Sus scrofa: one gene and its partner. The protein of the gene in region 1 purifies or fractionates together with the protein of each later gene. This does not show direct contact. Links are inferred from orthologs where the notes say so. Each region holds a gene or a part of one and is shown in the gene's direction. Other genes may lie near its edges. The genes, in order: CCNH and ERCC2.

Region 1 (3,816 bases):
TGATTGGCTGGATTAGCCATTCCTCTCCATGTTCATTCTTGCTCTTGTGACACTGCATGCTCATGGCTACTATGCACATCTTCAGGGTTAAAAGTCAGTTATGTTTGTTTCCAAAATGTTTTGTGCCAGTTGTCCTTATGAATAAATTTCTGGTTTAAATATTGAGTAAGCCAATAAAATATGACATTGAAGATCTTGATCTTGGATGACATTAGTTAATCAGTGTTTTTATGTTTTATGTTTCAAAAGTTAAAATGCCTCAGGGCATGTAAATATCATTTCTTGATTCTTTGTTGGAAATGATCTCGAGGTCTTCCCTCTTTAAGTGAGAGTGATGAATTTATCAGTCAGAAAACTGTAGGTTTTCAGTTATACCACTAGAGGGTTCACTTCCAAAACTAATTGTGATTTGGCCATAGATATTAGGATCCAGGAATTTAGTAAGTACAAGAGGTCTTAAAGGTAACCCACTGTGCTGATTTTATAGCTGACACTTACCTTCATTTTACTCCATTTGTTTAAATGTAAAATAAGAATAGCTCTTGCTGAAACTCAGAGCTGGAATGGTATTATCTTATTCATAATTTTTCACACACAAGATACTGTCCCAAGGGTTTTGATGCAAACACTGCTTTATTTGCTTTATGAAATAAGTCACTCATTTGGAGCACATGGCTGGCTAATTAGCCCTGTTTCTCTCATCATTCCTTATAAAAATCATGAGATTTATATTCTTTGTTTTGTGGTAGTTGAATAATATAAAGGGCCCAGGTGGAGAATCCTTGTGTGCTTAGTCACTGTAGTAGTTTGCTTTTAGCATAAGGAGGGTATTTTTGTTTTCTTGGTGATGCTTCATTGTATAGGTTCCGCATTGTGTTAAAGCAAAGCATCATTGACGGGTATTTATAAGCATTTTTCCTTCATTGCATATTACATAATAATGTTTTCCTTGTACATGAGGCCCTCCATCTGTAGGACAGAATGTTATGAATATAGTTGGTGGTAGAGAACAAAGATTGTTTACTAAATCATATAGGGATTTTTTAAAAGCCTTAAAACTGAGTAAAGTGACCATGGTAGGATTTGGAAAAAATACTGACTAGCAAAGCCTGCTTATCGTTATGCTGTACACGACGCGGGCTAAGCAGCAGAAGCTATAGTAACTTGAGTATGGTGTTCATTGAATTCTAATGTGAAATAATAATCCTGATAATAATAACCACATTTCAGGAGTGTTCTTTGTTGTTCCCAAAACTAGATGGGAAAATATTATTCATCCCCTTTATGAGAACCATACTTTTCATTATCTGATGTGGATCCTTTCTTTTATATACATATAGGCATGAGAAACTTGGTAAAAAAATATGAACCACCCAGATCTGAAGAAGTTGCTGTTCTGAAACAGAAGTTGGAGAGATGTCACTCTCCTGAGCTTGCACTTAACGTAATTACGTAAGTAGATGGGACACTGTTATCCTAGAACAGATATAACTATTATTGTGTTTAGCTTAAAATGTCATTTAATTGGTGAATGCTCATATGGGTAAAACTGACTTACCTATTAAATCAGATTTTTTTTCAACAGGATTAAACACGAGATAATAAAAGAATTTGGCTTTTTATAGTCAATTCTGCTCCTGCTGTGATTAACGTGTTCTTTGGCTTGTGGGATCCCATGAGGCAGAGTCTTCCTAGGGAATTCATGAACCTCTTCTTGTCCTTTTAATCTCTAGGTTTTTTGTAGGTCTGGTTATCTCCTCTGGAGAACAAGTACACTGTTCCAGATTTATTTCTATTAGCTAGGGTATGGAAATTTGGCATATTTTCTCTCAGTGGTAAACTTTATATTGAAGACAGAATCAATAGGAAAATGTGCTGTTAGATTTCTTGTTGCATCCATAAGGAACACTGTAATACGTCTTATTGACTTGTTGCTGAATGTGGAATTCACTATATTTGAGCTCTTTATCACCTGCAGCTTGAAGATCTGCTTACACCTTTCAGGTGTTTAAACAGTTGGGGATCTGGGTAGGTAATAAGAATGGTAAAATTATTATTTTATATTTTCTGTGGAACACATTCTGTAAAACTTAGTGGGAGGTAGGTCTGTCATCTTACAGTTGAGATGCATTTGAGATGTTTCTGATTCCATAATTGATGACTATATTGTTATTGGATAATATATGAGACATCAGACCAGAATTCTAAGGCCTTCAGATCAGGTACTTGTAACTCAAATTCTTCTAACTATAAAGCTATAGTAGGAGAATATCCCAGGACTTATGATGTGTGTAAAATATGGGACTATTTTATATTTGTAGCTGTAACTGCAAAACATGGCTTAGAATAGAACCTAAAATTGGTAAATTTCACTCCTGGGTTTCAGTGTTACAGCAAAAGTAAAGAAAAATGTTGACTTTAATGAATGAAAGTATTGCAGTACTGATTTATAATCTTTTCACATTGATTTTGAAATGGGCTTATTAGACCAGGTGTTGGCACACTGTGGCCCAAGGGCCAAATCTGGGCCACAACCTGTTTTTAGAAATAGTTTTATTGGAACATAGATCCATCTAGCATACTGTGTATTGCTGTTTTCAGACTATAGCAGAAGAATTGTGTAGTTGTGACAGAAACTACATGCCCGTACAAGAATTAAAATACTCACTATATGGCCTTTTGAAGAAAAATTTGTCCACCTCTGAATTAGACCACTCAACTATTGATCTTACTCTTCTAGCTAGGTGACTGAATGGACCATAATCCAAAGTTCCTAATTGGCCAGAGTTTACATCTTTCTTTCAAGTGTACTGTGTTAAGCAAACCCTGCATATCTATGAGTACTTAAAGGGCGATTCTCAAACTGTAAAGGACTGTTAATTTTCTTTTTAACCCATTACAGACCTACACTTACATAAAATATTAACAAATAATTACTCGAAAAAAGAAAATGACAAAAAAATAAGCTTAAATTTTATTAGATTCAATAAGCTTAATTTTATTAGATTCAGTAGTCATAAATAAATCTATCAAATTCCTATAAAAATTTCTAAACACACACTCAATTTCTATACTTATCTCATTGCACGCTGGAAATGGTCCATAAATCACACTTACAAGCACTACTTTAGGATAAAATATTTTTTCTTGGTCTTTAAAATTCTTTTATCTTTTTTAATACACAAGTAATATAGTGTCATTATTAAAGCCAATTTAATACAGGTAAACCAGAGTTCTCTTTAACCAAAACCCAAATCCCAGTTTCATCCCGAGAGGTAACTTATAGTTGTTATCTTTGCCAAGCTTTTCACTATTATGTATTTAGAAAAGGGTTTTTTCCCTTTTCATTGTTTTCATACACATTGTACAACATTTAATAGTATCAGTATTTAACTTCTGCCAGTCTGGGTGAAGAAATAATCATCACATCGGTATTTTAATTTGCATTTCTCTTATTATTCTGATACTGATATTTCCATGTCAAATAATCCTGTTTCTTCTGTATTGCATAATTATAACCTCTGCCCAACTTTCTTGTCTTGTTTTCTTATGGTTCTTTTTATATACTCCTCTTTTTATATTTATCATAGACCTACTTTCTTTTGTTGCTTCTTTTACTTTGTGACATAGGCAGCTTGTCTTTTGCTTTATGCTCGTACACCTGAACACCTTGTCTTACTCTGTATTTTGCCTTTTGTTTAGCTGTTAAAACTATTTAGAATTGTATGTGATTGGTTTGAGGTAGAAATCTCACTAATTTTTGTTCAAAGTAAACTTGTATCAGCCATTTAAAAATATTTCATGATTTTCTCTAGT
Region 2 (3,816 bases), on another chromosome or scaffold:
TTTAACTTTGTATACCTCGTACGATGTATTTGCATGACCTGTTTTTTAAAAAGTGTAAAGGCATGTTAAAAAATGAGGAATGTTCCTTGGCGCCTGATGAAATGGGAAAAGGAGAGGGAGGTGTTGCCAGCCTCAGAGCCTTCCCTTTGGTGAGGAAAAAGATTTGGTTCTGAGGAAAGGCAGCCCTGGGCTGTGACGGTGCTACCAGCAGAGCCTTGCAGGGGAGAGCAGCTTCCTCTGATTCTTGGACCTTGCTAAGGTTCTGGCTGTTTTAGCATTTTAAAAGATAAAGCAGAAATTCCCATAGTGGTGCAACAGTAATAATCCCGACTAGTATCCATGAGGATGTGGGTTCGATCCCTGGCCCCGCTCAGTGGGTTAAGGATCCAGCATTGCCATCAGCTGTGGTGTAGTTCGAAGGTACAGCTCGGATCCTGTGTTGCTGTGGCTGTGGTGTAGACCAGCAGCTACAGTTCCACTTTGACCCCAGCCTTGGAGCTTCCATGTGCCTTGGGTACAGCCCTAAAAAGAAAAAAGATAAAGCAGTTATCTGTAATTTACCTGCTAAAGAATCTTCAAGGTGTAATTAAGAAAAAAAAATTCAGATATAATTGACACCATATGTGACTTAACTTTTTTTTTTTTTTTTTTTTTTTTGATCATTGTGTGGAGCAGCTTGATGAGGGATCTTAGTTCCCAGACCAGGTATTGAACCCAGGCTGCAGTGAAAGCACCAAACCCTAACCACTAGACCACGAGGGAGCTCCCTAAGACATACTGTTTTTGTTTGCTTTTTAGGACCACACCTGTGGCATACATTCCTGGCTAGGGGTTGAATTGGAGCTGCAGCCGCTACCCTGTGCCACAGCCACAGCAATGCCAGATCCGAGCTGAATCTGCAATCTATACTGCAACACTGGATTCTTAACCCACTGAGCGAGGCCAGGGATTGAACCCACATCCTCATGGATACTAGTCGGGTTCTTAACACCCACAATGGGAATTCTGGACTTACTGTTTTAAAAAGAATAATTTAAGAGCCTAACAATTGTACCAACTCTTGCTTCCCTGTAGTAAGTTTCCAGGTGTCTTAACTGTTTACTAGGGAAGCAGGTTGAGGTTCCAGTTTCCACGGATGCCCCAGTGTCACCCGGGACAGGACAGCCAGATGGCCCCATCCCGCCTTAGCCATTAGGTGTTGAGCCCCAGGTTCCAGGAGTGGTTGGGCTCCTTGGCCTGTCCCAGTGCTAAGATGCCCTCTTGGCCCCTCAGGTGACACCCCTGCGCTTTGGGAAGGACGTCGATGGAAAATGCCACAGCCTCACGGCCTCCTACGTGCGGGCGCAGTACCAGCAGGACCCCAGCCTGCCTCACTGCCGCTTCTATGAGGTGCCTGCGGGGCAGCGCTGAGGGAGGGAGGCGGGGACCACTCACCACGGCCAACCTCCCTGACTCCTGTGTGCCCTGTCACCCTAGGAGTTTGATGTCCATGGGCGCCAGGTGCCCCTGCCGGCTGGCATCTACAACCTGGACGACCTGAAGGCGCTGGGGCGGCGCCAGGGCTGGTGCCCGTACTTCCTTGCCCGGTACTCGGTGAGGAGGCTGGCAGGGCTTGCGCAGGGGGGGCGTGCGTGCGGGTTACGCCTTCCCACCCACCTGTCCCTCTGCCTGTGTCCCCCTGTCGGTCTGTCCCTTTGTCAGTCAGTCTCTCTGAGTGTGTGTGCCTTGCCTGTGTCTGTCTTTCCTCAGTTCGCTTCTGCCTGCCCATCTGTGTCTGTCTGTCTGTCTGCCTGAGCCCCTTTCTGCACCTCGTCTCTGCGGGCCTGTCAGGCAGCACTGGGGCCGTGTGCTGTGGGCGGGGGGCAGTAGCACGAGGTGGGCGCTGGTGGCCGGGGTAACCCTGCACTCCCGGCCCCCAGATCCTCCACGCCAACGTGGTGGTTTACAGCTACCACTACCTGCTGGACCCCAAGATCGCCGACCTGGTGTCCAAGGAGCTGGCCCGCAAGGCTGTCGTCGTCTTCGACGAGGCCCACAACATTGGTGAGGAGGGAGCCAGGGCTGGGAGGCCATGCCAGCCCCTTGGGCTGCCGCCCCAGCTGCCTGCCTGAGCCCGGCGTCCCCTCCTTCCTCTTCCAGACAACGTCTGCATCGACTCCATGAGTGTCAACCTCACGCGCCGGATGCTGGATCGGTGCCAGGGCAACCTGGAGACCCTGCAGAAGACGGTGCTCAGGTGCGGGGCGCCGGCCTTTCCCAGGCCCGGTTCTCTGCCTGCCCTGCCCCCCACCCCAGGACCCCGGTCCCCGTCCCCGGCGTGTCCCCAGCCCTTCCCATCCCCCGGCTCCCCGCAGGATCAAGGAGACTGACGAGCAGCGTCTGCGGGACGAGTACCGGCGCCTGGTGGAGGGGCTGCGGGAGGCCAGCGCCGCCCGGGAGACCGACGCCCACCTGGCCAACCCCGTGCTGCCCGACGAGGTGCTGCAGGGTGAGCCCCCCGCCTCTGTGCCCGCGCCCGCCCCGCTGGGCCCCTGGCACCCCCCCTCCCCGCCACCGACCCGGCTGAGCCCGTGTCCCCGCAGAGGCGGTGCCGGGCTCCATCCGCACGGCCGAGCACTTCCTGGGCTTCCTGCGGCGGCTGCTGGAGTACGTCAAGTGGCGGCTGCGGGTGCAGCACGTGGTGCAGGAGAGCCCGCCCGCCTTCCTCAGCGGCCTGGCCCAGCGCGTCTGCATCCAGCGCAAGCCCCTCAGGTTCGTCCAGCAGGGTGGGGGTGGGCCCGGGGCCGGTATGGGGACTAATGGAAGCCTGGGGGAGTGCGTGTCACACCCGTGGGGCGGAGGGGGCAGGTCGGGGGCTCTGGGGCCAGCAGGGGCTTGGCGGGCAGCAGATGAGAGGCAGAGGAGAGTTTGGTGGACTGTTCACGGGGGTCCCGGGGGCCGTGCAGGATGGAGGAGCTGGTGGGGTGACCAGGCCCCTGCACCTTTGCGGAAACTCATCCCACCCCAGGCCACACGGGGAGGGGAGGGAGTAGCCCTGGAGAGCGGCTTCTGATGGGCCCAGCAGGGTGGGAGCTGGCAGAAAATGCTGTGGATCCTGCCCCCCAGACCCCTGTCGCCTCCCACTGTCCCCCAAGCCCCGGGGGCAGGAGCCTCCCCTCAGTGGTCAGGGAGGTGGTGCATGGACCCGGGAGTGGGGGTGGGGCTTCCTGGGCTTTTCCTTTGCTGTTCTGCCTGAGTCAGTGGTCTTCCCTGAACCTTGGTCTCCTCCTTTGTGCCCCAGGCAGGGAGTCAGCCCCTTACTCCCAGGTTCCTGAGGTGGTTGGTTAGGTGAGAAAGCAGCCACGCCAGGAACTTAGCATCTTGAGTGCTGACAATGAGCTAAGCTACATTCCGTATCCGTGGGATCTCAATAGCGTCCTCGCCTCGCGCTGTGGATGGGGACACTGTGTCCCAGGGAGGGGAAGCCAGTGCCCAGGGCCACACAGCACTGTGGGGGTAGCTGTGACTCGAAGCCAGGCCTGTGGGGCTCCGGAGTTCCTGGCTGCTCTGCCTGAGGTTGGGCGGGGAGCCCTCGATGGGGCCTCACCTTTCACCCTGCCGTGGGAGACTTGTGAGGGCTGCGGGGAGCTTCGCCGCCTGCATGGTCCTGAGTGCCTGATCTGCTGGGACACGGTGGGGACTGAGACAGCCCTGGCCCTGCCTTCCTGGGGTTCACAGTCCAGTGAGAGAGGGACGTGCCAGGGCTGGGATGGGGGGAGGCCTGGGGGCCCAGGGAACATAGAGGGGCACCTGGTCGACCGTGGAGGAAAGGAAAGG

What was found.
Region 2: the proteins of CCNH (region 1) and ERCC2 purify together in Homo sapiens (affinity purification with mass spectrometry; 3 studies listed by BioGRID and IntAct, counting the BioPlex papers as one, with this or other methods). This does not show direct contact. The link is inferred for Sus scrofa from reciprocal best matches to the Homo sapiens genes CCNH and ERCC2.

What each region holds. Positions count from the first base shown.
Region 1 is NC_010444.4:94,994,401-94,998,216, reverse strand, and holds part of CCNH (cyclin-H), read left to right. Parts: intron 1-1,340; coding exon 1,341-1,452; exon of another isoform or gene 1,453-3,816. UniProt on the Homo sapiens protein: Regulates CDK7, the catalytic subunit of the CDK-activating kinase (CAK) enzymatic complex. CAK activates the cyclin-associated kinases CDK1, CDK2, CDK4 and CDK6 by threonine phosphorylation.
Region 2 is NC_010448.4:51,743,994-51,747,809, reverse strand, and holds part of ERCC2 (TFIIH basal transcription factor complex helicase XPD subunit), read left to right. Parts: intron 1-1,272; coding exon 1,273-1,389; intron 1,390-1,476; coding exon 1,477-1,593; intron 1,594-1,919; coding exon 1,920-2,043; intron 2,044-2,139; coding exon 2,140-2,236; intron 2,237-2,354; coding exon 2,355-2,488; intron 2,489-2,582; coding exon 2,583-2,751; intron 2,752-3,816. UniProt on the Homo sapiens protein: ATP-dependent 5'-3' DNA helicase. Component of the general transcription and DNA repair factor IIH (TFIIH) core complex, not absolutely essential for minimal transcription in vitro.